Oryctolagus cuniculus: one gene and its partner. The protein of the gene in region 1 binds, or shares a complex with, the protein of each later gene. Links are inferred from orthologs where the notes say so. Each region holds a gene or a part of one and is shown on either strand. Other genes may lie near its edges.

The links.
Region 2: the proteins of DNM1L (region 1) and MIEF2 are in contact, whole or in part, in a cryo-EM structure (PDB 5WP9), measured with the Homo sapiens proteins. The link is inferred for Oryctolagus cuniculus from reciprocal best matches to the Homo sapiens genes DNM1L and MIEF2. Residues at the interface, in NP_036192.2 of Homo sapiens: Asp190, Met191, Ala192, Thr193, Ser194, Leu197, Lys198, Ile199, Arg201, Glu202, Gly223, Thr224, Asp225, Asp228, Arg233, Val234; in NP_631901.2 of Homo sapiens: Val213, Asp214, Thr215, Val216, Arg218, Arg226, Leu230, Arg235, Val245, Gly246, Tyr248.

Annotation. Positions count from the first base shown.
Region 1 is NC_091440.1:128,780,108-128,791,796, reverse strand, and holds part of DNM1L (dynamin-1-like protein), read right to left. Parts: intron 11,462-11,689; exon of another isoform or gene 11,071-11,461; intron 10,609-11,070; exon of another isoform or gene 10,537-10,608; intron 10,245-10,536; coding exon 10,158-10,244; intron 10,041-10,157; exon of another isoform or gene 9,725-10,040; intron 8,570-9,724; coding exon 8,407-8,569; intron 5,331-8,406; coding exon 5,210-5,330; intron 3,893-5,209; coding exon 3,761-3,892; intron 1,887-3,760; coding exon 1,680-1,886; intron 1-1,679. UniProt on the Homo sapiens protein: Functions in mitochondrial and peroxisomal division.
Region 2 is NC_091448.1:62,259,190-62,271,661, reverse strand, and holds MIEF2 (mitochondrial dynamics protein MID49), read left to right. Parts: upstream 1-4,617; 5' UTR 4,618-4,773; exon of another isoform or gene 4,774-4,997; intron 4,998-5,981; 5' UTR 5,982-5,988; coding exon 5,989-6,135; intron 6,136-6,217; coding exon 6,218-6,380; intron 6,381-6,507; coding exon 6,508-7,571; 3' UTR 7,572-8,279; downstream 8,280-12,472. Other genes in the region: FLII (protein flightless-1 homolog), read right to left, coding at 1-97, 202-363, 514-599, 908-988, 1,855-1,926, 2,172-2,282, 3,526-3,588; TOP3A (DNA topoisomerase 3-alpha), read right to left, coding at 12,175-12,356. UniProt on the Homo sapiens protein: Mitochondrial outer membrane protein involved in the regulation of mitochondrial organization.

The DNA of each region.
Region 1 (11,689 bases):
CACCTTGTCTCTGTCCTCCTTGTCTTCAACTAGCCTGTAAGCTCTCTAAGCACCGGAAGCTGCCTTGTGTCCGCTGGCCGACCATCTGGAGTAGAGGTTGGTAACTTTTTCCTTAAAAGGCCCCATGGTGCAGATTTTGGAAGTTTTGGGCTGTGGCAACTGGTTACCTCTGCCATTCAGCACAAAAGCAGCTACAGAGAGTACTGCACATCAACATGGCCCTGTTCCAACGAGACTCAGGAACACTGAAATCTGAGGTATATGCAACGTTCTCATGTTGCCAAATACGCCCCTGTCACTCCACTTCTCCACTGACAATGTCTACATCTCTACAATGTAAACATCACCCTTAACTGGTGTGCTGTCATCTGCCCATTTCTGCTCTAGACGATTAACTCTCTTGACCTCAGTCCTGCGCACATGTTATTCTCCTGTGCTTGACTCAAGTCTAGCTGATTCTACAAATACCTTCATTGTGTGTCTCCAAACCATCCCTCCCTCTCTGTGTTCAGGGCTAGGCAGTACTTTTTTTTTATTAACAGTAGTTAGGCAAAATGTACTAGTAGTCCAACATTATGCTAACTGAAACAAGCCAAGCATAAAATGATAGTCTGATTTTGATTATGTGCTTTATGTAGAACAGGCAAATCAAGACCCAGAGTTAGAGTTCTCTAGGAACTGGGGAGAATGGGGAGTAGTGGCTTAGCAGATATGCAACCACTGCTGAGGTGGTAAGAAATGATGCAAACAGATACTAGGGATGGTTATACAACATTATGAACATGTTAATGCTACTGTACTGCGCCCTTAAAAATGGTTAAAAATACCAGTAACCAGTCTCTCTGCTGCCAACCTTGCACTTCTAATAAGTGGATCACTACTCTAAGACAGTTATATTTTTCAACAGCTATGGAAGTTCTACAAATTGACAAGAGCCTCACTGCCTCTGTGTCCATCACATGCACGCTGTCCTCCAAATGCATCTGCACTACTGCTGTCCAGCCCAAAACACCCTCTCCTTCCCACCTTCCCACACCACTCAGCGCCAACTCAAACGTCACAAGTATGGTGCTCTCCCAGTCCTGAGACAAAGATAAATGGTCTCATCAGCATCCTAAACCTTGATTAGGTGGACAGATAACTGATCACCTGTTTACCAAACTGTCCATAAACGTGTGCACTTTTGAGATATGTATATTTTATAAGCTGTATTTAAATACTTAAAATAATTATACTGTCGCCACCTAATCAGGCCTCATGTTACCTCAACCTGCCTTACCCACTGTTGCTTAGACCTACTGTGGTAATATTCATTTCCTTATATATGGCATATATGAAATAACCATTCAGTATTTTATCTGTTAAATACTCTGTTTCTGGAGTTAACTCATGTGACAGACCATCTGCGTCACAAAATGGACACAGAACCACACACACACAGATGTGTGAGTGTAACGTGAAGTCTAAGTGCCATGGATTGTTCCAATGTCCATTTTCTTGCCGTGCTGTAGTGAGGTAAGTAAGGTGAGGTGAAGGGTGCATTTTATCATTTCTACAAAATGGTCTTCCTGTTTGCTAGCTTAGTAGTCAGATAATCTGAGTTAAATGTCACTTGAACAAACAAACAAAAGGATCCAGCAATCCAGGTACCCAAATCTACAGAAAAATGTCTTACTTACAGCTCTGAAGTTTCAATATATTTTGCTGTTCCTTCAATAGTGTTACAGTATTCTGTGGCAAATTTGGTAATAAGCTGGAGTAAAGTAGCACTTTTGTCATCCACAGGCTCCCCATAGCTGTTCAGGAGAGACTGGTACTGAGCAGCTAGAACGTTTATTCTTGTTTTCAGCTCTGGCAAGCAATCTCGGATGTGATGCATCAGCAGCCTAACAAACATCAGAGAGAGGGTTTTAAAGTGTGAGTGTGTATTATGAAGCCCCAAACAAGTCTTACTGTTAAAATGCAAACATTGGGAAAAACTCGTTAAATCATTTGTCTTGGCAGGTGTAGTGTTACAAAGTATGTATTTAGCTTTTCTGAACATTTCCTGGCACTCATCTCCTAAAATCCTTGGAATCTCCAGAGCCATGAGTGTTTCTGTAAAGGCATCAGATGACTTGTGGCCGGGGCCCCCGGAGAGCTTCAGGATGGGGGCTGGTCACGAGAAAGCCCAAGGCAGGAAGGAGCAGTGGTCAGCCCCACTCTCCAAACTCTGGGGAGAGGACAGAGGCTGAGGGTTGAGCTCATTCCCACAATAGCCAATAATGTGATCAACCATGTGTGTGGATGCAGCTTCCAGAAAAACAAAAAGGACAGAGCACATGAAGCTTGTGGGCAGATGAACACACGGAGCTTTCTGAGCATGATGTGCCCAGAGAGGGCACGGAAGCTTCAGGCCCTTTCCCACAGGCCTTGCCCTGTGCATCTCTTCCGTCTGGCTGTTCGTTTGTATCTTTTCTAATATCCTTTAAAAAATGTGTAGAAATACATTTTAGGGTTTATAAAACTGCCCACATATGTTGTATGCCTTATAACTATTTATAAAGCTGACCATATGTATTATATGCCGTTGTCTAGATATATATTAATATATATAATTATAATTTTACCACCTAATCAAGCTCAATGTCCCCATCCTCAAGTCAAACTTGCTAATAAGATCACGGAAAACCCAGTTCATAGCCCATCGGTCAGATGCACAGGCCGCAGCCCGTATTTCCACTAGTGTCTCAAGTGCAGGCAGCCTTCTGGGACTGAGCACCCAGCAAAGGCATGTGATGCTGTCTCTAGGGAAGCAGAGTCAGACTGAATTAAATTAGAAGATACCCAGCTAGAATCCACCGGAGAACTGAGTATTTAGTGTACTGGGGAGAAACCCACAGATCTCATGTCAGAAGCATCCTCTGCTGTGTGAGAACAGGATGGAAACACTCTTCTAGATTTTTCCTATTTCACATGCGCAGGAAATACTGCAGTCTTAGATTAGGGTAATAAATACTTAGTCTGAAAAAAAGTGGCACAAAGGAAGCTGTTTTGGTCATTCCTTTTAAATTTGCCTTTGACCAATCAAATTATACCAAATGCTAGAGAACCAAATATATACTTTAAATAAGCAAATTATTTTCATATTATTGCATTTACCACAAAGAAAGTAAGCTATTCGATCCAAAGCTACCTATTTAATTTGGGTTTCATTGACTTAACTTCTGCCATGGGTAGCCAATATAGTGAAAATCAGTATTCCTAGGATCCAGATACCTAAGCCTTTAATTTAGGGAAAAGATTTAAGTAAAAGAAGTGACTTTCACTTCAGTCATTTGTAAATCGTCTAGAAAAATCTTCTAGTCCCTACACCTACAACTTAAATTATTTCTACTATGAATAGAAACAGAAGACATTCTAAATTTAAAAAGGATGATGTGAAAATTAGACACTTTAATTCAGTCCCTGAAATTCAGTCATATGCTATCTAGTTCTATCCTGTAATCATCAAAATAATCAGAACTCATCAAAAATGTCATAATTACAACATTTAAAATTCACTTAAGTGTTCTAGAGTACAGGACGATTTAATGTCTGCCATCCCAATAAAAATAAAAATAGAGACGTCTGATTTCCAAGAACCTATTACACAGAATCCAAAAGTGAAACCATAAGGAACCCAGGATGGAAATGCAGGGAACTGAAAATGCTTTGTAAATCTCAAGTACCTGCTGGCAAAACAAGAACATCTCATTTGCAAAAGGTAAAAAAATGTTACCTGTTCAGAGTCCTGGCAAGATACTTTGTCCCGTTTCTATTGGCCAGAGACGGGTATTTCTTTTGAAGAAAAGCATATTCATCACGGATTGAGTCAGTTACACTCTTCTTATTGTTAATGTCTAGCTGGCTCCTAGAGTTGAAAAACAACAAAACTATTCAAGTCAAGTCAACTGTTGTCCTCTCATCCTGTTTTATGATGAAAGGGATGACAGTAATGTTAACACTAGGCTTTGCTCCCTGATACATGACATGGGTTATTCTATTTAATTCTCAGAATCATTTCTCGTGATAGGTACCACCCTATTTTACAACAAGCCAGGATTCAGACCATGTGACTTACAGCAACTGGTGCATGCATAAGCCTCATTATTAACGGCAGCCAAGAGCAGTACAGGCACAAAAATGGAAATGTATCTTAATCAACTGTGTATTTCATCCATGGACAGGTAACTAATACCAAAAATAATTAATTCAAATTGAAGAGTGATCATCTATAAATGTAACCAACAGTATTATGCCAACCGCTTGCCTGAAAGGGAAGTTGGAATGGGGAGCAGACGGATGGGGAGGTGAGTAGGGATAAGGCGGAAAGATATGTGAATAAGTAGACAACAGCAATAGATCTTAGGTATTGCTTAGCAAAAAAAAAAAAAAAAAAAAAAAAAGCTTAAGACCCACAGATGTTAGGAGTCATTTAAACCCATATTACATGTCCATCTGGTTTGTACAAGGATTGGGAACAGCAGCCATGTCTCAAGATTACCTACCATGTAAAGACTTCGGGCTAAGAGCATCATCTAAATCCAGCTCTACTCTTCACTAGCCATTTTCCTTTGGCAAATATGTAACCTGAGTGTTCTGATTATAAAGTAGACAGCAACACCCACCTCACAGAGTGCTGCGAGAGTTCAAAGGGACACCATTTGGAAAATGCTCAGAGTGTCTAAAACCTAGACACTTCATAATAGTTTCCTTCTCTATAATTATTAAAACTAGCTATTTATAATAGGATACTTTTAATAAAAATTGCTCTAAATAATATCCTGGCAATTATACAAAATCCAATCTAATCCTAGTGGTAGGAGTTAAATGAATTTATTCACATCCTTCCACCTTAAATTCTGTCCTCATTGGGAACAAACTGGTAACACTTTTTTTCCTTGCCCAGTGCCCTTCTCATACATAACTGAACTTAACAGGCAACAACTCTTCAAGTCTGGCTATTAAATTGTCTTCCATTTTGTGATGCTTTGTTTAGAAAATATTTTCCATTATAAATATCTAGAGGAAGCTTTTCCCTTTAGAGCAATCAATTCTTTAGCAATGCCAACAGTATAGTAAAAGGAGGGGAAAATAAAACAATATCACATTTCTGACCCGTTTTAGAAATGTAGGCTTGCTTTGAAATGATAGTACTGCAATTCTTATTGCATTTTTGAATGCTAACCTGTTTACTACTCCAATTATTCCAAGTTTGACCGGAATAACCCTTCCCATCAATACATCCATGGCATCAGTGCCTGCATCCATGAGATCAAGTTTAGTGATTACAGCTAGGGTTCTGCGACCTGATAAATGCAAAAAAAAAAAAAAAAACCGAGAAATTAATCCATTAAATAAAGCCACTAAGTATTATTAATCACAAAAAATTCTCATCTACAATTCCACTTTAATCTGTCATCATTTTAGTAATCCTTTTATAACCTTTGCTTACAAGCACTACAATTTGAAACGTACGATATAAAAATCTGTTTGCCCATATAATTCTGTATTACCTTTTAGGACAGACTTTCTTATATGTATTTCTAGAGTGTGTTCAGAGTTTACTGTGTTGGTGTATAGTTGAGTTCTGACAAATGCAAACAGGCGTGTCACCACCACCTCAAGACAGAGCAGTTTTACTGCCCCTCAAATGTTCTTGTACTAACCAATCAAACCTGTTATCCATGCCTAACCTTTTTCTAGAATGCTCTATAATGCAATCATATAGCACACAGCCTTTGACTATGGCTGTTTTGTTCAGCATAACGCAGTTGAGAGTCACCTGTGTTGCTGTATCGGTAGTTCATTCTTTTTATTGCTGAGGAGTGCTTCATTGCATGGATGTACTGTGATTTTGGTTATTAGCTCCCCACTTGGGAGATATGTCTAGTTTCTAGAAATTATAAATACAGCTTCCATGCATATTTGCATACTAGCTTTTAAATGAACACAGGTTCTCATTTAACACAGGTAAATACCAAGAATCAGATTGTTGAACTAAAACTTCACAGAAATTGCCACACGGTTTCCTAAAGCGGCTATACCACCTGCTCCAGCAATATACAAGAGTTCTAACTGCTCACAGTATGAGGTTTTACATAGGGCATTTTTCAGTAACAAGCACCCTTCCTAAACTTCATTATCAATTCCTCAGTCCTTCGACGGCCATATTAGGTTAATTTAATTTTTTTTATTTATTTGAAAGACAGAGTTACAGAAAGAAAAGGGAAACAAGGAGAGAGCGAGCGAGCTTCCATCTGCTTGTTCACTCCCCAAGTGGCCACAACAGCCTGGAATAGGTCAAACCGCGGCCAGGAGCCTGGAACTCCATCCAGGTATCCTACATGAGTGGCAGTGAGCTGGATGAGAAGTGCCAGCATTACAGGCAGTGGCTCTGCCTGCTGCACCACAACACCGGCCCTTGGTTTAATTTTTTGATACTGTAAATAATACTATTGTTAACTATGTATTTCCAGATTGACAATTACCAGATCAGAAGTATGACCATATCTGTGGTGAAAGGGTCAGTTTAAAAGTGCTAATTCAGGGTCGGCTCTGTGGCGTGGTGGGTTAATCCAACGCCTGCGGCACCGGCATCCCATATTGGCGCCGGTTCTAGTCCCGGCTGCTCCTTTTCCAATCCAGCTCTCTGCTGTGGCCTGGGAAAGCAGTAGAAGATGGCCCAGGTCCTTGGGCCCCTGCACCCACGTGGGAGACCCAGAAGAAGCTCCTGGCTTCTGACTGGTGCAACTCCAGCCCATTGTGGCCAACTGGGGAGTGCACCAGCAGATGGTAGACCTCTCTCTCTCTGCCTCTCCTTCTTTTCTAATTCTGACTTTCAAATCTTTAAAAAAAAAAAAAAAAAAAAAAGTCAACCATCCAGGAACAAATGTTAGGGTACACCAGGTTAAGCTGCTGCTTGCGATGCTCATGTCCCCTGTCAGAATGTGTAGCATCAAGTTCTACCACCTCCTCCTCTTTTTTCTTTTTCAAGATCACTTATTATTTGAAAGGCAGTGTGTCAAAGAGAGATCTGCTGGTCACCAACAGTCAGGCTGAAGCCAGGAGCCCGAAATTCTGTTCTTGTCTTCACATGGTTGGCAGGGGCCTGAGTATTCTGGCTATCTTTTGCCTTTCTAGGTACACAGCAGAGAGCTGGATCAGAAGTGGAGCAGGCCAGGATTCAAACCGGCACTCCTAAAGGGGATGTCAGCGGAAGCTTAACCCAACTTTGCCACGGCACCAGCCCCTCTCTTCCAATGCACCTTCTTGCTAATCAGTCTGGAAGGCAGCTGATGGCTTTAGTGCTTGAGTGTTTGCCACCCAGGTGGAGACCAGGATGGAGTTCCTGGTGCCTAGTTCCAGCATGGCCCAGTCGTAGCTCTTGCAAGCATCTGAGGACTGTGCCAATGATGGAGGATCTTTCTCTTTCTCTCCTCTCTCTTGCCGCTGCTGTCTCCCAAATTAAAAAAAAAAAAAAAAAGCTTTTTAAAAAATGTCAGCATTGAAGGCTGGAGTTGAGCTAGTTGGTAAAGCTGCCACCGGCAATGCCAGCATCCCACATGGGTGCCAGTTCTGAGTCTCGGCCGCTCCATTTCCATTCCAGCTCCCTGCTATCATGCCTGGGAAAACAGTGGAAGATGGACCAAGTATTTGGGCCCCTAAAACCCCTGTGGGAGACCCAGGTGAAGCTTCTGGCTTCTGGCTTTGGATAAGTCCAATTCCAATTGTTGCAGCCATTTGGGGAGTAAACCAAATGGAAGATAAATCTCTCCTGCAAATAAATAAATATTTTTTAAAAAAAGCCATTCATAAACCTAAATCATTATATTTATACCTCTTAGGAAACTTTTTGTTTTAAAGGTATTTTATTATTTAAAGTCATTAGGGGTAGGAATCTGATCTAACAGTTAAGATGCAGCTGGGACACTTGCCGTATCTCTGCCTGGCTACCAGTCCCAGCTCTACTCCAGCTTCCTGCTAATTCACACCTGGGGATAGCTGAATTCTTACCACCCATGTGGAAGACCTGGACTGAGTTCCCAGCTCGCTGCTTCAGCCTGGCTGAGTCTCACCCAGTGCAGGCATGTGAGGAGTGAACCAGTGGATGGGACGCTCTCTCTCTGTCCACTTCTCAAATAAAAGGTAACCATTAAAGATACAGACATTATGTGAATTATTTTTGCCTAGCCTGTACAGCAACTTGACAAACTTATTTTTCATCAGAATTTCTATTTGAAATTATAAGCAAAGTAGGAAAGCATTCCTTTTTTAAACTCTGTATTAATAACTGGAAATATTCCTTTTAAAAATAGAAATTCCTTTCTTGAGATTTATCATTGTCAATCAAGCATCTAATTAAATATTAACACCTATCCTTACCGTCTGGATCTACCTCTCTTGAAATTTTCAGGGCCTCTGATGTCGCCATATCTGTATTAGCAGCAGTGACAGCGAGAATAATGGAATTGGGATTGCTGATGAAACGAAGAATGAGCTCTCGGATCTGAAGCTCAATATCCTTAGGTTGATCACCTACAGGCACCTAAACCAAACAGAGATGAGCAAGGAACTAATAATAAAATCAACTCAGCAACCCCCCCCCGTCATTAATTTACAAATTACAGGTTATTTCTCTATTTGCAAACTGTTAACATAATGAAATTAATGATACTACAGGGGTATGCATGAATTTGGTTAATGTGTGAAACAGCAAAATTTAACTATTGCAAGTATCCAAAGTTGACCAACATGATCCCATGTGAAGGACTAGTCAGTGCTAACTGCCTGAGAGACAACTCCATTCAGTTATCCCAGGTCTACTGATGGCCTACCATGCTTCGGGTCCTTTTCTACATGTCAGAGTATAATACAGCAGTGAATCTAAAACAGACCAACCGTTCTGCCTTCATAAACCTGTGTTGTAGTGATTACAAATACTCATAGTATCCAGGTGGTAGAATGGGCTATAATAAATACAACGGTAGACTCTGCAGGGATGATCTGAAACTGGGTTGTTACCTTTGAGAGAATGACAGAAAGTGAAGATGGAAAGGGAAGGGCACACGCAGGTGTCTGGGAAGGAAGTCCCAGGCGGGGTGACAGCAGGCAGGAGCATGGAGCAAGAGTCAGAAGAAGAGCATGGAGACACCAAATAGACACTTAGATTTCTGTAAGAACTCGGGCTCCTACTCTGAGTGGAATGGGAGGCTACTGGGGCGAATTTTTAGCGAGGATGGACACAGTCTAATGTTTAATACCATCACTCTGGCTGCTTAGTTAAGAACAGGCAGATAATGAGAAAGAGCTGTTATTTATTTGCTTGTTGTACCAACCAAACCAGGTGAATTGACACTGGTCTAATGAGACACAGTAGCATTCTGGGTGTCCTGTACAGGTGAGGACAGCAAAGAGGGCATGCTGACAGGAAGTGTAATGCAGAATAAAAAGCATAAGGATGACTACAAATTTTGGCTAAGCAATTGGTAGAAGGGAGTTGTCATTTATTGAGAGGGGAGAAGATTAAAAAAGGGTCAAATCTAGGAATTTGGTATCCAACTTGTCAGATCTATAACGCTTACAAGACACTTAAGTGTACAAGGGTACTTCAAAAAGTTCATGAACATGAAATTTAAAATGTTACTTTGGTGTGTAAGTTTTTCAAATCAATGTGCAGTTTTTCTTAATACACATTTTCTACAAACTTTTTGAAGCTTTTTATCTGTCAAGCAGACAGATATACAAATATCTGGAGATACTTGAATGCCATCAACATACAGAACCTTAAGTATTTTAAAGCCACAAGATCTGAAGAAATCATGTAGGGGACGGAGTCCAAAAACTGAGCTATGGGGCACTCACTGTTCAGACAATGGGGAGATGAGAAGAAATCAACAAAAGAGACTGAAAGAAGTGGCCAGTGAGCTTGGAGATAAACCGGAAGAGTATGGTATCCTGGAAGCCAAGTAGAGAGAGTGTTTCAAGGAAGGCTCAGCTCTATCAAATGCTTCTAACAGGTAAGTGTGACTGCAAAAAGAAGCTGGTTATTCTCACCCGGGGTTAGGGAAAAACCACAATGTTTCAAGCAAAAATTAACATAACCAAAATCACAATGAGTAACAATGACTCCTTACCTTGGTCATTCCGGGCAAATCCACAAGTGTCAAATTGACAACGTTGGGTGAAAAGATCTTAAGATGAATTGGTTCAGGGCTTACTCCCTAAAAGTAAAATATATATTAAAATTATATTAACAATTCAATGAAGAATGCAATACTGTAGTAAATCTCATTTCAAGCAAACATTACATCTTTTTAAAAATGTATTACATTACAATCTATAAAACGTTTTAAAAATCTAAACCTGTTGAAATACATGGGACATAAATCAGCTGGGTTATAATACTACTGAACCCCATACCAATAATAAGAACAATTTATTTCCCCTGTATTAGTTTGGTTTCTTTTCTCTTGATTCTAAGCATGTATCATTTCTTAAATATGTTTAATACAGTGCTGAACAAAACAACATATTTCTCACTATCCAAATTTAAGAGGTCCCAGAGGTTCAGACAAGGAAACACAGGTAAATTATTCAATTAAATTTGATGGGGTAGATGGGCGGGCGGGCGGACATTTGGAAAGATGGTTAAATCAAATTGCTTGGGACATCTGTATCCCATATCTAAGTACCTAGTTCAAGCATCCAGCTCCCTGCTAATGTGCACCCTGGGAGGCAGCAGGTGATGGATCCCTGCCACCCATGTGGGAGAACCAGACTGAATTTCGGGCTCCTACTAGCTGTTGCAGGCATTTGAGGAGTGAACCAATACATCAAAGATCTACATCTGTTTCTCTGTCTTGTAAATAAAATGAAAATACACAATTTTTGAAAGGGTTATTGCATAGTGAGGTTGTTTCTTGTGCTACAAAAAGGGGGAAGGGATCAATTCGGTTCTTGATCTTTGAATATCAAGTGGCAACACTAGTGTGATAAGAGATTTCTAAGGAAATACATCTGGGCTGGTGCTTCCGTGTCTATCCACAGTGCTCCAAGTCCTCGTGCAGAGCCCCTGGAGTACACGTTTCGGGCCACTCATGTGCCCAGTCCGTCCAAGGTGGTTGCATTCTCTCCATTACTGAACTGAGAGGGGGACTGTGCTGCTTGGATGAAGCTTGTGGGATTTTTGGTGAAACTGAGTGATGAAAGTGTAACCACTGCACTGAAGAATGGGACACAGGTCCATGGAACAACCATGGGTGCAGATGCCAGCATGAACACATACCTTGAAGCTGTGAAAATGACCCAGAGGAACAGAAACCTGTACAGCTAGATACACGGAGTTAGAGGAAATGCCATTCCCCAATTTATTCTACCAGACCGCTTCCCTCTGAGCACCCTTCACAGGGATGCTAAACTTAAGGTAAAAAAAAAAAAATTTTAAAGATTTATTTTACCTACTTGAAAAGCAGAGTTACAGAGTTAGAGACAGGGAGAGACAGCGAGTGAGAGGTCTTCTATCATGATGCTGGTTAACTCTCCATATGGCCATGACGGCCTGGACTGGGCCAGGCTGAAGCCAGGAGCTTTTTCCAGGTCTCCCCCTTGGGTGCAGGGGCCTGAGCATTTGGGCCATCTGCTGCTTTCCCAGGGGCATTAGTAGGGA
Region 2 (12,472 bases), on another chromosome or scaffold:
GTTGCTCAGGCCCTCCAGGCTGGTGGGCAGGTTGCTCTGGGTGCGCTGGGTGTTGCGCAGGTGCAGCGTCTGCAGGGCTGTCATGGCCGGGAGCTGCCTGGGGGAGGGGTGGGTGACACACACAGGCGGTCAGGGGCAGGGGCGGGGCGCCCCGTGTACCCCAGGGGCGGGGGCGGGGAGGGGAGCGAGCCGGGCGCCCACCGGAGCTGCGCGTGCAGCAGCGGGTTCCCGTTGAGCACCAGCGTCTGCAGGTGCACCAGGCGGCGCATCTGCGGGGGCAGGCTCTCCAGCCGGTTCTCACTGAGGTCCAGGTACAGCAGGTCGGTGAGGTTGATGAACAGCTGGTTGGGGATGGTGTCGATGCTGTGGGCGGGGCGGGGGACGGCGCTGCCTGAGTCCTCGGGGTGGGGACACTCACGCCCAGCCCCGGCCTCAGGTCCCCGGCCCCAGCCCTCCAGCCCCGTCCCCACCCCACCCCCGCCCCCCGGCACGTGCGCGCGGCTGGCCGGGCACCTGTTGTGGCTGAGGTTGAGCACCAGCATGTTCCTGGCGTTCTCCAGCTCCCGCGGGCACTCGGTCAGCTGGTTGTGGCTCAGGTCCTAGGGAGACGGGCCAAATCCCAGGTCGGGGCGTCCCCGCCCCCACCCTGCTTCTGCCAACCTTGGCGATGAGGTAAGGCACTGAGAGCCAGGGCATGAGGGGGTCTCAGGGCCAAAGCGGCTGGGGCCTCGGGCAGAGGGGCGTTTGGGCTAGGGCTGGGACTCCAGGCGTGACCTCGGGCAAGGCCCGCTCCGGCCTCAGTCTTCCCGTCTGTAAACTGGGCTAACAGTGGGCCCAGGGGCCATCGCGATGGGTGGGGACTGGACCAAGAGGCTGGCAGGGGGCAGCTGGGCGGGCAGCCACTGACCAGGACAGAAAGGTCCTCCAACTTGAAGATGTCGTCAGGGACTCCGGAGTTCTTCAGCTGGTTGGCTCGAGCCACGATGGCCTGCGGGTAGACCACGAGAGTCCCTGCTTCCTGGCTTCCACCCCCCGCCCCGGGAAGAGGCAGAGGCAGAGGCAGAGGTGGGCCCCTTTGGGCCTGCCCTGTCTCTGCTCTACAGCCTCCCGCGGTGAGCTCCTATTCACGCTTCAAAACCCAAATGTGCCCCAGAGCCCAGCACGGAAACCCCAGATGTTTCTGATCAGACACCCCTCCTGTTCATTCAGGAAGATGGGGTGCGGTTTGGAGTGAGGGTGGCTAGGACAGATGGAGGGGGCTGGAGTGAAGAGAGGGCAACGTGGGCTGACCGGAAATGCTTCCCTCCCTAAGGTCGGGGACAGAGCGGGGACCCATGCGACCCCGGGGCCGCCCCTGCCACCTCCGCAGCGCTGTGCGGTTGCCCACGGGGTCCCCACTGGCCCTCCCAGCCACCCCATCTGCAGAAGGGACTTGTCCCAGGCCACACAGCTGGGAGTGGCAGAGCCCGGCTTGGCTCCGGGGGAGCTCCCAGGGCTGAGGCTCCAGCCGGGGCCAGGGCCACCTCCCTGAGGCTCCGAGGGCCCGGCCAGCAGTCTAACATCCAGCAGGGAAGAGCGCCCACTGGCCAAACCCCGCCCCCCCGACTCCAGCTGTTCGGCTGCCCGGCTGTGTGGCCTTGGGCGAGTGACCTGCGCCTGTGGCCATGTCCTCATCTGCGACACCGTCAGGCATGGGGGGACGTGGACGTCCACTCGGCATGCCTGGCACCCGTGGAGCTGTCCCCACCCACAGGGACCACGCCACGTCCACCCACGACAAAGGGCCCCAGAGCCCGGAGCCTGGCAGAGAAGCCGGCCGGGCCCTGCCTGGGGTCCGGCACCCGCCGCACTCACCCGCAGAGAAGGCAGGCTGGACAGCTCCCCGTGAAGCGTGGTGAGGTTGTTGTGGCTCACGGACAGGTGCTCCTGTGCCAGGGCGGGGCAGCGGAGGCTCAGTGGGGCGGGGCGGGGGTATCCACAGTCCCCACCTGCCACCCCTGCTCTGCACAGCCCCAGACGGCCAGCGCCAGCCCAGGACGCCCCCACAGCCTCCTTCCTGCTCAGACCCAGCTTCTTGCACACCTCCCAGGACGGGGCGCTCATCCCCTCCCTGTCTGCCAGATCCTCCCAAGGCCCCGCCCCTCCTCCCCACAGACCCCACCCCTCCTCACCAGCTTCTGCAGGGCGGCTAGCTCCTCGGGCAGGTAGCAGAGGCCTGTGCGGTTCAGCTTCAGCCATCGTAGGCTTGTCATGGACTTGACATTCTCAGGGAAGTAGCCACCCTGGGGTGGGGGTGGGGGTGTGCTGAGGCTGGCCTGGGAGAGGGCTCCCCCTGCCCGTGGGCACATTTGAGGGAGGCCACACAGCCAACTCTCAACAACCACAAGATCCTCCCCACAGGCCCCGCCCCCTCCAGGGGAGCCCTCCCTACTGGCCCAAGCCCCTCCCCTACCCGTGGAGGCTCCAGGGGCCAGAGCGGAGGCCTAAGAGGGTCTCTGCTACTGCCCTTGAGCCCCAGGAGGGGCCAAGCAAAATGGGGATATCCTGGCCCCCCCATTGTGTGGTGAGCTTAGCTCAAATTCCTGGGCCCCATACTCTGGGTCTGCCTGGGCTGTGGGACCCCACCCCCACCCCGTACCCTCAGCACCCTGGCCACTCCTAGCAAGGTCCCCTGCCCTGTGTCCCCCTCTCCCAACCCTGCCCGAGTGGGTGCCACCTCCTTCCTTCCCCGTGTTCCCCTCCCCAACACCCCCCCCCCAGCCCTCGTGGCCGAGTCTGGGGCAGCCGCTGCAGCCAGTGCCCAGGGGCTGTGCCCCTCCCCCCACCGGCCACATTCCCAGCTGGTGACTCAGGCCCGCCCAAGCCCAGGGGAGAAGCGTGGAGACCCCAAGTGGGGATGGCTGAGGTCGGGACGAGGAACGGAGATGGGACAGCACAGATGTGGACAACACAGGCTGGACAGGAGCCCGCCGGCCTCCGCCCCACACCCTGAGACGCCTAAGTGGACAGGCCAGAGGTTGCCCATCACCGGCCGGAAGCCCCGCCCACCTGGCTCTGGCTCTGGGCGCCCCTACCCATATTGAGAACCTCCCCCCAGCCAGAGCGTCCAGACCGCAAGTCTACACTCGCAGGGTAGACTCGAGTCCCTTCTCCGGATGAGAAAAACCCAGGCCCGGGAGAGGGGAAGTGACTTGCCCAAGACCACACAGGATGGAGCGCAGGGCGGTGATGAGCCGCCTCCGGGCCCGCCCTTGGGCAGCCAAGGCAGCGGCGGCCCTGAGTCAGCGGCCGGCTGGGCCGTGAGACCCCCGGGGCGGCGGTGCGCAGGCCCGCAGCGCCCACGCCCTCCCCCGGCCTGGGCCCGCGCCGCTCGGGCTCGGCCTTCCCGCGGGGGGACGCTGGGCGGAGGCCCGGGGTGCCGGCTGCGGGCTGCGGTGGGGAGGCCCGCAGAGCCCCGGCCGCCGCCCGCAGTGTGGCCGGAGGCGGGCGAGGTGGTGCCCGCGCCGAGCCCGGATCGCCGCTCACCTTGAAGTCGTTGCCGCTGAGGTCCACGCCGCGCACGAACGGCAGCACCCCGGTGGCCTCCATGGCGGCGCCGCTCTCGCTGCCGGGCCGGCCGGGCGCTGGGGGCGGCTCGGGAGCCGCGGGCTGGGCCAGCGCCGACTCCGCCCCGTTAACCCGCCCGCGCCCGCCGCCGCCGGCACCTCGGGCCTCGCCGGGGCCCGGGGCCTTGCGCTCTGGGGACCTCGCCGGGGCCCTGGGCCTTGCGCTCTGGGGACCTCGCCGGGGCCCGGGGCCTTGCGCTCTGGGGACCTCGCCGGGGCCCTGGGCCTTGCGCTCTGGGGACCTCGCCGGGGCCCGGGGCCTTGCGCTCTGGGGACCTCGCCGGGGCCCTGGGCCTTGCGCTCTGGGGACCTCGCCGGGGCCCGGGGGCCTTGCGCTCTGGGGGCCTCGCACTCTGCGTCCGCGCACAAGGGGTCCCCGGCGGTCTCCGTGCGGAGCCGGGGCGGCCCCACCTTCCTCACCCTACCAAGGTGGTGGCCGGCAGCGAGTGACCACGCGCGCACGTGCGGCTCGAAGCACGCAGCAGGTGCTTGGTGCGTGGCAGGTGGTTCTCATTAAGGCCCGCATGCAAACCACCCTTCCCAGGGGCGCTGCCTACGTCCCCATTGTACGGCACGGGAAACTGAGGCCCAGGCGGACAGAGGGCAGGCCCAGGGACGCACGGGGCCGGCGGCACACCCCCTACCCCGCGCGCAGACAGGTGCTAAGGCGCTCCCGCAAAGGTGACTTAGGGGTCGGCGTGCAGGCCTTTGGACCAGGTGCTACCACCCGTCTGCCCGGCCAGAGGAAGGAAACTGGGGCCCAGCCAGCTTCCTCCACGCGGGAGGCTCACATCACACACGCACACGCGCACGCATCCCCCGCGCCTCTGTGGGCTCCAAGCAGGCACCACGCAAACGTTGCGGGCCCAATAATGCAGCCCTGCGCCTTTAAATCCGGAGTGCCCCCGGAAAGCCCCGCCTCCGAGGGAGCGCGCAGGGCGGAGAAGGGGCGTGGCAGGCCCCTCATTGGCCGAACCTCGCAGTGTTTTGGAACGCCCCTGAAGAAGCCGAGCGCTCCGATTGGAGCTAGGGCCTGCTCGTCTGCCTACGCCAGCGCCTCGGCCTTCGGGGCCCGGGTCCTTCACGTTCCATCCGCAGGCGGGTTCCGGCGCCGGGTCCCGGCGGGCCCGCTGCGTGGTCCGGTCGGTGTGTGGACGCCGCGACGCAGGTACGGCTGGGAGCCCGGCGGGGCCTCCCCGACAACCCGCATCCCGGGTCCCCCAGCCCTAGGTGTGGCGCACGTCCGGGGGCGGGGCCCGGGAGGATTCCTGTGAGCCCCGAGTTCGAGTCCCGGCCCTGCCGTTCCCGGCTCGGGTGCTTGACTGGGTTTCCCAAGGCCTCCGTTGTCCTCGCCTGTGAACCGGCCCACCGAGGGACTGCCGCGCCGGCCTGGTAAGCCCGGGCCCAGCGCCGGCGGCTTGCGGGTTATTTTTAACTGCTCGGTTCCTGCGCGCCCCCCACCCCTTAGGTGGCACGGAGCCCTCGCTGGGGCAGGTGCGCGTGCGCTGGAGGGGTGGGCATTTCAAGTGCTTTACGCACTTGGCAGCGTGGAGGCCTGGGGGCCGATGGCAGCGCTGGTCCGTGGCCGGGGCCGCGGGGGTCAGCCGGCTGGCCCGTGACCTCCCCCAGGACGCCGGAGCCCCGTCTTATTTTTAGTCTGGCGCTAAGAGGCAGGTGTCCCGGGCTGAGTCACACAGAGCTTCGGGCTCCAGCTGCCCCGGGCAGTGGGGGGGCAGGGCACCCAGGGCGCAGCAGGAGGGCGGGCCGTGACCTCGCCGTCCAACGCTGAGGCTCCCGGGTGCCCTTGGCCACCCGTCCCCTGCACCCTCAGGGCCCGAGGTCAGGGTGGGCGTGGGCCTTCTCTGCCTCCACTCGGGCACTGCTCACCTCCTACCAGCTGGGCTGTGGCTCCAGGCCTGCATCTGGCTTAGCATCCTGCAGCCAACCCCCACCCCCCGACCCCGCCCCGACCTCTTGAGGAGCCGGCCACAGCCAGGAGGCCCTGCCCCCCCATCCCCTACCCTGACCTTGTGCTGAGCCGGCCACAGCCAGGGGGCCCTCTCTTTGGGGTCTTCATCTTTGGAGTTCCCTGCTCAATGCCCTTCTACATGATGGCTCCTGGCAGCCCGGACCCTCTGCCAGGGGCCTCCGTGTGAGCCCCCTTTGCCAGGGGCTGGGTTATTGGCCGGTTTGGGGAGGGGTCGTGGCTGCTCCCCCGGCTCCGTGCAGGAAGCCCTGCTAGCAGCCCCTGACTCACGAGGAATCTTCCAGAAGCTCCTCCTTGTGGACCCCAGAGCCCCTGTGCCTGCCCAGCCAGGTGCCCTCCCCGCCCCACCCCCACCCCGCAGCTACCCCGCGCCCCCGGCTCCCCTGCAGGTGGACCATGGCGGAGTTCTCCCAGAAGCGGGGGAAGCGGCGTGGCGGCGAGGGCCTGGGCGGCGCCGTGGACTTCCTCCTGGCCAACGCCCGCCTGGTGCTGGGTGTGGGCGGCGCGGCTGTGCTGGGCATTGCCACACTGGCCGTGAAGCGGGTAAGGCCGGGCTGGCGGGGGCTGGGGCTTGGTCATGGCTGCCGGCCGCCAGGTGCCCTGCTCAGCGCCGCTCTGCCCGCAGCTCATCGACAGGGCCACCGGCCCCCGGGACGAGGATGACGCCAAGGGGGACGGCTGGACGGAGCTGAGCCTGCTCAAGGCCACGCCGCACCAGCAGCCCCGGCCCCCACCTGCCGCCCTCAGCCTGCCCGAGCCACGCCGGCCCCCTGCCCCCTCCACGCCAGGTGAGCCGGAGCCTGCGCCCGGGTCCCTGCTCAGGCTGTTGGAGCTGTGTGGCCAGGGTGCTGGGATGCGGTCGGGTTCCCGCAGTGCATTGTGGGCTGCTCTGACGTGTCCCCCTTGCCTCTGCAGAGGGGCCCGCGGACGCCGGTCCCCAGCCGCCGCCTCTGCTCAGCCCCCCGGCCCCGCTGTGCCTGACCTTCCAGGAGAAGCTGCTGGCATTCGAGCAGGCCCACGTGGCCATCCCCGAGGCCCAGGTGGCCTTGGCCAAGCAGCTGGCCGGCGACATCGCCCTGGAGCTGCAGGCCTACCTGCGGAACAAGTTTCCCGAGCTGCCCTTTGGGGCCCTCGTGCCCGGCGGGCCGCTCTACGACGGGCTGCAGGCCGGGGCCGCCGACCAGGACCACGTGCGCCTCTCGGTGCCGCTGGCGCTGGAGCCGGGCCTCTGGAGCCTGGTGCCCGGCGTGGACACCGTGGCCAGGGACCCTCGCTGCTGGGCCGTGCGCAGGACTCAGCTGGAGTTCCGCCCCCGCGGCAGCAGCCCCTGGGACCGCTTCCTGGTGGGCGGCTACCTGTCCTCCCGCCTCCTGCTGGGTCTGCTGCGCAAGGCGCTCACCGCCTCCGTCAACTGGCCGGCCATCAGCGGGCTGCTCGGGTGCCTGATCCGGCCCAGCGTGGCCTCGGAGGAGCTGCTGCTGGAGGTGCGGCACGAACGCCTGGAGCTCACCGTGGCTGTGCTCCTGGCCGTCGCCGGGGCCGGCACGGGCGCCGACTGCCAGCTCCTGGCCTGGCCCCTGGAGGGGCTGGCTGGGAACCTCTGGCTGCACGACCTGTACCCCAAGGAGGCTGCCCGACTGCGGGCCCTGGATGAGCAGGACGCCGGCAGCCGGCGGCGGCTGCTGCTGCTGCTATGTGGCGTCTGCCGTGGCCACCCCGCCCTGGCCCGCCTGGGCCGGGGGCCCCTGACGCAGGTGGTCCTGCGGGCGGGGGAGCAGGACGTGGACTGGACCGAGGCGGCCCTGGGGGAGCGCTTCCTGCAGGCCCTGGAGCTGCTGCTCCAGAGCCTGGAGCAGGCCAGCCTGCCCTGCCACTTCAACCCCGCTGTGGACCTGCTGGCCGGCCTGCGGGACCAGGACATCGACGACGCGGGCTACGCCCTGTACTGCGGCCTGCAGGCACCCGAGGCGCTGCTGTAGGCCCGGGAGGGCCCCTGGCACCGCGCCCGCCTCCCGTCCCGTGGTCACGTGGGCTTTGGAGTGGATTTGTTTGTGCTTGCTTGCAGCCAGAACAGTAGAGGGTGCTCCGCTGAGCAGGCCTGGCCTGTGGCCGTCTGGATCCTTGAGCCCCAGGGGCTTGAGTCGCTGGCACCCAAATGTGCCTGGGCCTTTCAGGGCCAGCCGAGGACCTTGACCTTGGGCCCTGACCGTCATCACCAGCAAGGAGCCCTCTGCCGTCCTGGCCGGGGGCTGCCCGCTCCGCTTCCTGCTGAGTGTGATTGAGGCTTTCCTGGGCGCCCCCTGGTGGCTGAGCCGTTGAAGTGTGTGGCATTTTCTGCAGGGACGCCGCGGGCTCGGTTTTCTCGCTGAGCCCCCTGCAGCCCTGGCGCTGGCGCTGCCTGATGCACTACCCGACCCTACCTCAGGGAAAGCCCCTTCCTTCCGCCAGGGGGGTGCTGCGGGGCCCTGCTGGAGCCGGGGGGGGGCATGCCCCGCCCCCGCCGTGGGGCCCCGAACCAGCCACCCTCAGCCGAGCTGTGTGCCGTGAGTCTGAAGATGGCCGGGGTGTGGTGGGGGCTGGAGGGGGCATCTGCCCTCCCAGGACCCCTCCTGCTGCCGCCGGTAGCCTTCCTGCTGAGCAAAGCTATGCCTTGAAGAATGTGAACAATAAAAGGAGAAATTGTTGTATACGTGGTTTGCCGCGTGGGGGTGGGGCCAGGCGCTTTCCTAAGAGGCAGGAGGGTAGGATTTAGTGATTTATTGGCTTATAATTTATGTATCTGCTGGTTCACTCCCCAGATGCCTGCAACAGCTGGGGCCAGGAGGCAGGAACTCCATCCGGGTCTCGCTGTGGGTGGCAGGGACCCAAGCGTCTGGCTAAGGAAGCTGCATCGGAAGTGGAGGTGGGGCTTGAGCCTGGGACTAGGGGCCGGCTGCTGAACTGGCTGGCGTACCACTCACAGAAGCCTTAGCTCTCGCCCTCCGAGGCAGGAATAGGTTCACACGCTGCTTTGTGGCTGTCGGCTCCTGGGGGTATGGGGGGTCCCCAGTGTCTATGGGAGCACCAGGCCCAGCCCCGTGGGACCCTCTCAGGGCCCCCTCCTGTTGCTGGCACGGCAGGGGAAGGTCTGGGTCATAGGAGCGGGCGCCAGGGCCTGCTGTACCAACGTCCTGCTTCTGTCCAGAAGGGACTGTGGGGGAGGGGGAAGTGTGTGGTGGTTGGGTCACGTGGGATGGCTGTGCCTACCTCCAGTGCAGGGTGATGGGTGGATTTGGCCTTGGCCAGGAGACCGGCTTAGTTGGGAGGTCAGTTCCAATCACTTGGTTCAGCTTCGGGCAGTTTTTCTGGGGGCAAAGGGCAGCGGGGCGAGTGCAGGAGCAGTGTGGGGACAGAGCCTGTGCCCGTCTTCTCTGTCAACTGGGAACTACTACCACTTCCTGTGCGGGCGCTGGAGTGGGCACAGGGGCAGCTGCCCCACAGCCTTGGCTTCTGCCGCCTCCCTCCCGCCCGCCACCAGAGCCAGCTCCATCTTTCTTGGATTTATTTGAGAGGCAGAGTTAGAATGAGGGAGGCGGATCTTCCGTCCACTGGTTTACCCCCCAAACAGGCCACCAGTGGCCTGGCCCAGAAGCCACGTGGGCGGCCATGTTCACCTGCTGCTGCTGTCCAGGGGCATTAGCCGGAAGCCAGGTTGGAAGTGGGACCCTGCATTCATTATGGGATGCTGGCGTCGCAGGCAGTGGCTTCACCTGCTGCACCACAACGCCGGCCCCGTCACCTTGCACTCAACACAGGCGCGAGGCGGGCTGCTCAGCTGCACAATCCCGCATGCACCTGCCTGGGCATCCTAACACCCGGGTTCCCCAGGTGACCCCTGGAGCAGGCGAGCAGTTAGAAAGCGGCCACCCCCAGGTCCCTGCCCTCATACAGCTCAGGAAGTGGTCTGGGCACCCACTGGCTCACCGTGGGCCTTTGGAGGGAGCTCAGCTGCAGGCCCATCCCTCAGGTGGGGCCCTCGGGTGCCCCTGGAGCAGCCGTGCGGTTCAGCTCCCAGCTGCGCTGTCAGAAATCCAGCCTTGGGAGAGTCCGTGCGAGCAGCTTCTGCACTGGGCTGGCCCCTGGGGTGAAGGGAAAGCAAGCAGCAGGCAGGTCCTGAAGGTCTCACTCCTGCATCCTACGGGGGAGTGCCCGGGTCCAAATCCCTGCTGCGCAGCCGACTCTGGCTTCCTGCTAATGCACCCTTGAGGAGGCAGCAGGTGGTGGCTCAAATACTTGGGGGAAACCTGGATTAAACAGTTAACAAACAGCAAACGAGCCTCCAAGGAGGGAGGCTGGGTGGCAGGAAGCCGGGGCGGCTGGGTCTGGGAAGCGACGTCCACCTGCTGTCACTGGGCTGCATTTTCCACGTTGAGCCGTCCCCATCCTATCACCAGCAGCGCATGGGCGTGGCTCACCCCGAGTGCCATCTCAACGCCAGGCAGAGTGCAGACCCCAGGGCTGGCAGGGTTCCAGGCAGGGGCGGCCTGGCGGCTGCTCCACGCCTTTCCCGTTTCTGTAACAGGGGGCCTTCAGCCTGGTACCTCGTGTCTGTAATGTTCCCATTTCTCATGAGGGCACTTCCCTTCGGAATCAGAAAAAGCCATTTTTAAAAGGTAGCTCCCGGAGGAAGTGCAGGCCGCGGTAACAGGCCCCAGCGTGGAGCCAGGACGGCGCAGTCACTGGGCAGTGGCCTGGGGTCTTCCTGTGCTGTCCAGCAGCTCCCAAGACGCCATCGGCCGCAGGACTCCCAGGCTCACGAGGCTGGCTTGGGTTCCCGCGGCAGGCAAGCCGGAGGGCGTGGGGCATGTGGATCTGTGGCTCACGGGGCTGGTGGCAACACCCTGTGAGCAAGGAGACCAGGGGCCACCTCTGGGTTCTAGTCTAGCAAACCCGGATCCTGCACGACGTCGGGTGGGATCCGGGCCTGAGCTCCTGGCCACCACAGGCCCTGGGAGAAGCTGGCGAGTCCACCCGAGGGCAGTGGTCCCTGTCTAGTGTCTCGGACGGCGCTGCAGGGGACCTGACTTCCTGCAGCTGTAGCCATCGGGGACAGGGCTGGGCTGAGCCCCTCAGCCACCAGCAATGCGGGGCAGCCGCGTCCTGTCTGCTGTACATGGGAGGTGTGGCTCCGAGTCCTCGTGCTACGGGGGCTCAGCCGTGGTGTGGGGAGGGGCCGGGCATCAGACAGTTCCTCAGGAAGTTAACAGGAAGTTGCCACAGGAGCCAGCGATGCCACTGCCGGGCGCGTGCTCAACAGGAGCAGACAGAGCCGTGCACGACCGCCCACAGCGGCAGGTGCAGACCACCACTGTCCACCGAGAAGTGGGCAAACAGGCGCCACAGTGTCCCGCCTCCCCCACAGTCCCACTGCTTTGTGTAAGAGACTCAAACACCCTAGGGGCTGGCGATGCAGGCCACAGCCGCCCTCACACTCCTCTCACTGTAGTTCTGTCACGGCAACCATATCTCATTACTAGTTATCGCTGGGAACCTCCCACCGTGCCCGACCTGCGCACGTCACCAGACTGACGTATGTGGCACGGGGGCTCAGCACCGCCCATGGCTTCAGGCACCACGGAAGCTCTGGACCCACAGAGGGACCACTGCACACACGGGACTCTCAGTGACAAATACCGATCCACGCCACGATGTGGACCCTGCAAACGGCAGGCCCCGTGGAAGGTGCTAGAAACAGGTCCCGCGTACGTGGCTGCAGATACAGAAGACCCAGACCAGGTAAACCACAGACATGGATGGGAGCCTGGCGGCTGCTGGGGACCCCAAACGCACTGCCCCAACCCGCAGCTGCCAAGGTGTTTGGAGGACGCCTCCAAGAGCCTCCGTGGTGGGACGCCTGCCCTGCACCCAGCCACGTGCGTCGTCAGGGTTCGGGGCCGGGATCCTGAGACCTGCTGGCGGCTCCAGGTCTGGCCAGCGGGCGGGCGGCAGCCCCTGCTGATCATCCCCCCAGCTACAGAGCAGTCGTTTCTCACGAGGTCTGTGGCCACAGGAGGAAGATGGACGGTCAGCGCTGGAGTCTCGCCAGGCACCTTCTCTGCTCTGTGGACACGGCGAGGTGGGAGAGGCTGGGCCCAGTGCTGTGTGGCAGGAAGGGTTGGGGGTGGACAGGAGCGCCCAGCACGGCTGCGACGGCACCGTCACGCCTGCCATCGTCACTGGCCGGGGTAAAAGGGCTCGAACTCTTTATTAAGGCACGTGAACCACTGGGCGGTCCGGGCCTCCGGACTAAGCGGGACCAAGCTGCTTCTGCAGAGGCGAGGCACGACCCCTTCCCTCCTCCCGCAGCAGTTGGGGTGCCGGCTCCTCACCCCGGGGGCGCCGCTGGCTCTACGGCACAGCCGGCTGCGGCTCGGGCATGTGCCAATGCGGGGGCTCCGGGCTCTGCACCTCACCCCGGGAAGCCACGGCTGAGCCCCTGCTGGCGGAGTCGGAGCCCGCGCCCCTCCTCGCTGAGGCCAGCGCTTCCTCAGCGCCCCCGGACAGCCGCGCCGCCCGCCGTCCCCGCCCCGGCCCGCCCCGCCCTCATCTGTTCTGAGGGCAGAAAGGCCGAGTGTGTCCGGGCTGGTGGCACAGGCTGCACTTCCGGGGTTTCTTCGCCGTGGCCCCTGGCGCGTCTGAGGATCCCGCCCGGGGTCTTTTGCTTCTGGCCTCTGGCCCCTGGGCTCTCCCTCTGCCTCCTGGCCAGGGCGCGGCTCCGAAAGTGCCTGTGGGGGAAGGGAGGGGGCGGTGGAGCCTGCGACATGGAGGACGCAAGAACCAACCACAGCTGGGTCGTAGGTCACGGGCTCACGTGCAGCACACAGCCGGACTCCAACTCGGC